2 linked regions of the Drosophila melanogaster genome follow. The protein of the gene in region 1 interacts with the protein of each later gene in a pairwise test. Each region holds a gene or a part of one and is shown on either strand. Other genes may lie near its edges.

Region 1 (4,121 bases):
TCAAAAGAGCAAAGAGCATGTAACGATATTTCGGTTCCCTTTTCAGCCATTCCGCATGGCCCTACGATTGCGGGCAACAAATTTGCAATAAGCTATTTTTCAATTTTCAATTTAGGCACCAAGGCGGGTGGACAAGGATATGCAAAGCGGCGACCACATATCGCCGAGCCATAATTCAACGCGAGTTGCCACAATCGCATTCGACCCAAAGGACAAATGAGAGTCCTGCGAGTGACCCAAACCGTCAGTCAGGCGTAAAGCGCTAATAATTAACAGCGATTCTGCTTTACCGACGAACTAAGCACCCATCGACATGGAAGCTTTATTTACGAATCCGTCCAGAAGGTAATTCTAAAACTTATTTTTTAGATTTTCCGACATCAGCAGAACATCCAAACTGATTCCCATGATGCACGCCACGCATGGAAATAATGGAAGCAGATGCTTCTTCTAAAATCTCTGAACTTATTAGGAAGAAGACAGAGTGCAGTCCACATGCACAATGTCTTCCTTGTAAGACTCTTTCCTGGAGTTTATATTGAAGCAATTGACCATCAGCAGGCAAAGAAGTTGGGTGTCCATGGAGGCCACTCAAAGTAGGAACACTACTGAAGTGACAAAGCCTTGCCGATAGTCATGGGTCAGTAGAAGTTTATTATATTACATATCTGATAATCTGATCAGGAAAGCTGGTCACGAAAGCTGCTTAAAGTCCATCGAAATGAAATATTACTACCTTATACCATAGGTAACACGAAACACATTCATGTGTTTGATAATGGATTCAATGTTTTATTAGTTTCTCAATAATTGTTTCACACCATGTAGTGTCGTATATCAAGATTGCGTTCCCTTAGCTTCAAATCGATCCACTGCCGGTACAACTTGACGTTTGTGTAAATTCCAAGAAGTTGCGGGCCATCGCAGCGAGCCGTGCGGGTCAAAAGACCGGCCAGGTGGAAACGATCATCGTGACCGGAAAGAGGACACATCAGCGGCACAGCGGTCATGTCCACATCACCGCAGACGAAGTCACCCTTGTCGCCGCCGGCACACAGCAGGCTATCGTTGTGGGCGTGGCGTCGCCCCAAGAGGGACAATCGCAACTTGGTCCTGCATTGATCGGGTGGTAGGACGTAGAGTGTCCAACGCTTGGGCAGGATTGCAGCTCTACCAAAATCACTCCTCTGCCAACCGGACACATAGCACTGGCTGTAGTTGTACATTATTCGCGGAGGCGGCAAGCAAATGGGCTGTACATTAGGAGCCAGCTGGAAAGGTTTCTCCTTGTCCACCAGAAGTATCGCTATGTTGTGGGCCAATGGCATTTGAGTGTAATTGGGATGCACTAATGTCTCAACAACCGATCTTTGCTGGTGCGGCTGGGGCTCCAGCTCCACGGCGGCATCCCATTCCCCGGCCAACAGACGAACCTTCTCCATTTCCGAATTCTGAACGCAGTGCGCGGTGGTGATCACCGCCAGCGGAGTGATAAGTGCTCCACTGCAGAGATAAGTATCCGACCCGTAGACCGCCACCAACCAGGGAAACTCCCCGAACTTGGCCTCTTGCTGTTTATATCCCAGCGGTCGAAGGTAGTACCAGAGATCATGGCGTCCTCCACACGGGCAGCTCATCATCTCCTCTGGAATTTTCGGAGTCGGGAGCTGTTGGTATAAAAGTTCGACTTTTAAAAACTTATTGATTTGATTTTACTTCAGGCAATTAAATGAAATTAAGTTAAATATAACAACAGTGTTAAGTGCTTGGCCGCTAGAAACTGAAAAACAAACGAATTTTTTTCGTAATATGGGTAAAATATATCATACAAATTTAAATTGTCAGCTAGCATAAAAAAATGGTTGATTTCTTTGCATCAGGTAGGGAATAAAAGAATTTTTTCGATAAATCGCTTTATTTTTTTGACCGGTTGTAACCAGTTAATCATTAAATGTGGCTGCAATTCAGAAAGCCAACCGGTTTAAAATCCAAAAGGTATTAAATTTAAGAGCGTCGAATCAAGGATTGTTTGTTTTTTTATTTGATTTAATTCCAATGCGATTTAAACCATTTTTTTAGTCAAGTTTTTGATACCGCATTCCGGAAAACTTTATGAAAATCGTAACTTTTTCAATACTCACTTTATCGGGGATATTACAGCACTTTTCCATATAGTGACAATTCTCATCCAAAGTCGTTCTGCTGCGATCCGGATAGAATTTTCCGTCCACCATTAAGCCCTCGTTGCACTGCTCGTAGGGAACGCAATGCTTTTCCGGTCCGCAGACTTTGGATGCCGCTATGGAGGGCACTAGGGAGCCTAGAAGACAGATGACCACAATCCGATAGAAGCACATATCCGAGGATTCCGATTCCGATTCCGTCCCTGAACAGGTGCCTTCGCCTTGCACTTGAACTGCGCAACTGGGCGACCGATGGCTTTTATAGCCTCGCCAAAGTTCAAGCCGTACACACCGATTTGATTGGGCAAAAAATAGATTGCGATCCATTAAAGTGCTAAAAATAGTCGACATTGTGCTGGGAAAAAAGGGGCTGGACCTGGACAATATGACAATTGGTTTCGGCGGCAATGCACTGAGAAAATATAATCACAGTTTATAATACATTCTAGGCCAGCAAATGGTATTTGCAGTTATTGGTTCTAGCAAAAGATAGATTTGATAGATAGTTCTGTCCTTAAAGATACTTTGTGAAGTTGTCCCTTGGAAAGGGTATCCACTCTATGCCCAATTACGCAGATGTATCTGGCACTTTCCTTAGTCTGCCGCCACTTACACGTATCCATATCTATTACATTCGAATGGGACTGAAAGTGGGGGAGGATGCGGATCAGCTGTGCACTGGCTTAGGGATTGTGTCATATCTTAATGTACAATCGTCGCCTAAGTGCACGTAAATTGAATAAAATTTCGACAAAGTTTAATACACCAGACATGCACATGCACACAACACTCTGAGGAAAATGAGGTGGCGACAAGATGGCTTGGGTTTTTCCGGGCAGAAATCTGCAGTTTGCCTGCCATTCGATAGACAACACCCAGCTTTCAGCATCTGGACAAATGTATATATATATATATATATTTGATGCACCGACTTGTTTAGCTGAGATTTACGCAACTTAAGCAGATTGTCAACAGGAATTGTGAGGTATGAGTTCGAATCGAGGACCCTGAGGTGGGCGAACAAGAATGCCAGGAGGAGAGTACATGCGTCAAATGTGTAGAAAGTTAACGTGTCCTGTGCCTGCCTGCTGGTCCTGTGCGAAACTTAATTTGTTCCATCGTGTTGCAACACTTCTGAACAGATGTTATCCTCGAGGAAATGAATCCTGTTATTGTTGCTGGCCGTCCACTTAAAACAGATTTATGAACATGTCACACCCTCTTCACTCGCCATCGATTCCCCCTTGCGGTGGCAAATATTCAATTATTATGAAAATTTATTATTCAACCAATTGTGCTGGGCGGATCGGAAGTTCATTTTGCATGAATGGGATCAAAACTGTTTGTAAATTGTGCTGTGCATCCGTATGAATCGCTTTTTATGCGCCAATAATACATATACCAACCGCAAAATGCCATCATCAAAGGATGGTTCTTATGCAATTTGCAATCACAATTTAAATAGATAAAGTATAAGCAATTGCATTAACATATTAATATATAGCATTAATCGAATCCTTGTGGTGTGAATTAAATGCCAGTCATAAAAAATTCGAATTTTAAGAAAATTTAATTGTGACTATATGAATGCTTCCATGCCAATAATACAGTTCCATATATTAAATATAATTCAGAGAATTAAACATATTAAATTAGTCTAACCACAGTAACTTTAAGCATTGATAAGTGTCACTAAAATGGCATTTAACATTTGAGTATTATTTCTGCAACTTTTTAAACTCATTCTCAGTTTTTTGTCTCAATTGAGTGTTTTGATTGAGTGGGTGTTTTTAACTCTCTTAGCTGCATATTCCTCCCTTAAATGCAGTTTTTTTTAGCTCAACTACCAATTGAGTGAATGTTAACGGAATGTTAACTGCAATCTCAAGACTCAAGCGCAGTTCTGAGTGAGTCAAATATGTGGCTTTGAGTGGAACA
Region 2 (3,301 bases), on another chromosome or scaffold:
GGGCTCACATTCCCTGATCGATCCTTCGTCACACATTTCGTTGCTTATAAAAATACGATTTCCTTGTTCGATGAATACTTGTTAGATGAATACTATTCCGAGAGACAGGCTAAGCGAAGCCTATGCTTTGACTGTAGGATGGGGGCAGGGCCCACTTGGTCATGCCCCAGACCCCCGGGTGCTAATGTCATCCAATTAAAGGTGTCATTAACGGTTTGTCCACCGCGAAGTCCACGAGGTTTGCTCTTCAATTACTGACCAAACAAACAACGAAGCAATAACGTGTTCTACTGTCTAGATTACCCGGTAATTTGTCTAACGCATTAATAGCCTATGTCCAAAACGATCCTCCCAATGCATTAGCAATGGGTCCCCGGGGTGGGTAAAAAAAAATCGAACTCAGTCCGTAGAGTAGAAGTTTGGTGGTTTGGTAATGCCAACCAATTCAAACCGATTCCAAAACGTACTGCTTTCTATATGTGTGCATTTCGAATCCATCTCGCTCGACCCTTTGATGGATATTAGACTGCCTCCAATTCTCCAGACATGTCACTCCGGCACGCAATCCATTATTTCCGGGTTCGGCTCTCAGTTGGGCCAAAACACCATAAACGAAACATCGGTGGCATGACAGTCAAAGGGTTAACTATGTATGGCCCAAACTTTTGCCAACAGATAATAAATTAGCGCATACATTATGAAACGCCATAAGGATGCGACTTCCGGTTGCCGGAGACGGCAAGGACTCCGTGACCCAAACTGCCAATTTACCACCCCGGCAAACAAACAGGTGACACTTTCTCAAACCGAAACGAAACGGAACGGGTTAAAGACGACACACGGAGTTCATTTACATGTCGATGGTTGTTGGATATGCATACGGTGGTCTTGGATGTCGTGAGTGGCATTGTCGGAAGGCAAGTAAAATTTTACGATTTTGAAGAATCATGCTTGATCAAAATAAAGTTGGTAACAACTTTTTGATGTCTTAATAATAGCGGATTAGGCATATTGCAACTTTCTGACGCTGCAGTTTTTGGAGCTCAGCTAAAAAGGAGCAGAAGCTATTCCTCTTAGGACTATTGAAATCGATTGGTACACGCTGGAAAAATCCTTTAAGTCTCAAAAAACCTCGGAAATAAAAAGTTCACATAGAGCAATTGAAGATATATTATGCCTAGAATATCTGATAAAATGATTTGGAGTGATAGGAATCTACAAGAACTATCAGTTTAAGGATCAAAAAAAGTATATCTATTGTATAATGGTTCAAATAAGATGGCTTCATTTTAATGTAATGACTAAAAATTGCATATTCATGATTTACATTTTACATTACCCCATGTTTTGCTATATAGTAAGATATCCTAAAGGATAACTTTCAGTGAGTGCAAGTAGGCTTCCACCACGCCTCTTTCAGACTATTACCGCTGTTATCGCTGTTATATTCGTCCACAAAATGCCGGTCGATAGCCAAGGGTCACTCTCATTGGTCAGCGCATGGACAATGGGTAAGCCTTACTATCTCCGCCCCAACACATAACAGTTGGTCAACTCCAAGGGCCAAGAAGTGATCGGCGAGCGGGGAGAGGTGGACTGGACTGGGCTGGGGGCATGTAATCTGGCTAACCAGTTATATGAAGTCCTTGTAACCGGGCAGCACAAATAAATGCCATGCGGCCCCGGCCAAGTGTCATGTATTTGACGAATAATTACCGTCAACATTGCGTGATTGGTTGAATCAGCCGGCGATGGAGGGTTGTGGCTGGCTTAGAATTAGCCCCAAAGCGGGTGTATGTGTGTGTGTGTGTGTGTACGTGGGGGAGTTTGTGTGACAAGAACCTATAATTACCACGGCAGGCAGGTGGTCGCCTCGCCAGTAGCTAGCTTCTTAGCCAGGAGCTGGATTCAGATATAGCCCGGCCGTCGGCGCGAACGGAAGTCACCGATATAGGATGCACTCGCCCGCCCAGTCGCCCATTTTGGATGTCACCGAGACCGTATCGATGCACTCCGAACTGGATGCGGAACTGGAGTCCAAGAACAATCCGTCCTACTCCATTTCCATTCCCCAGAATCTTCGGCTAACCGGTCTGGGCTTTCCCGGCATGATCGGTGCCAAGAGATCGTCGGAAACTCTACCCGCCTTCGAGTATATCGCACCACCAAGTCACGCTCTCCAGGCACTGGAATTTCCGCTGATGGAGCTCAATCGTGTGGGCGTAATTGGAGGCGGTATGTTTCCGGGTTTTGTGCACCGTCGCGTCCGCGGTGAAAAGCGACCCATTCCGGAGGCTCAAAAGGATGCCAAGTACTTTGAGCGGCGCAAGCGAAACAACGAGGCGGCCAAGAGGTCCAGAGATGCGCGGAAAATCCGCGAGGATAGGATAGCATTCCGAGCAGCGCTGCTGGAGCAGGAGAACTCCATTCTGCGGGCGCAGGTCCTGGCGCTGCGGGATGAACTGCAAACGGTGCGCCAGCTCCTCGGAGCCACAACAGCCGGCGGCATGTTGTCCATGGCCAGGCAGGTGTGAACCACTCTGCGGGATCAGATGGAAAAGTGTACATATCAATGAGGGAAGCTAGTGAGATTATTTAGTTTGATGTTAATAAATGTTTAAAATAAATACTAAGGATATTCTAATAATATATGTATGCATATGCAGGTGTCCCTTAAAAAAATATGTTATTCAGATATATAAATATTGGCCCATCTATATAGAGTATTTTGCTAGTGCTAGTACTATAGTTCTATAAAGTCATATATATATCATTTATATATCACAAATTGTGCAATAGAAACCATTAAAATTGATTAAAAGTGAGTAGGACTAGTTCGAGTTTATTTCATTTTAAAAAATGATTTCAACAAACGCATACAAATAATTAGAAAATATTTAACAAGCTAGTAGTCCAGAGTGCGCGACTGCACCTTTCCAGTCGAGTCCAGGATGAGCAGAACCTGTTCCTGTCCACAACTTCGAGCACCGGCAATGTCCGTCACCTTGAGGCGTGTGTCCATGAGCTCCTCCACGGGTAACTCTCTGTCGCGATAGAAATCGTAGTGACGCACAGTGCCATTGGTGAGGGCGGAAAGCTGCCAGCCGTCGCTGGAGAGGATCAGGGCCTGGACGAGATGCTGGCGCAGACCGCTGCCACTTAGGAGCAGCTGCTGGTCAAAGACCCTCATTTCGTAGGAACGCCTGGGTCGCTCAATCAGCTCCAGAGCTGTGTTGGGTCGGGCATCGTACGTGGGATTGTCATCCATCTGCTGGTCAAATGATCTACGCTCGTTGAGTAT

What was found.
Region 2: the proteins of CG9377 (region 1) and CG7786 interact in a two-hybrid assay, tested with the Drosophila melanogaster proteins (one large-scale study listed by BioGRID).

The regions. Positions count from the first base shown.
Region 1 is NT_033779.5:13,359,127-13,363,247, forward strand, and holds CG9377 (uncharacterized protein), read right to left. Parts: upstream 2,440-4,121; 5' UTR 2,358-2,439; coding exon 2,142-2,357; intron 1,668-2,141; coding exon 816-1,667; 3' UTR 775-815; downstream 1-774.
Region 2 is NT_033778.4:16,233,591-16,236,891, reverse strand, and holds CG7786 (uncharacterized protein), read left to right. Parts: upstream 1-1,955; coding exon 1,956-2,534; downstream 2,535-3,301. Other genes in the region: CG3687 (uncharacterized protein), read right to left, coding at 1-36; CG15701 (uncharacterized protein), read right to left, coding at 2,906-3,301.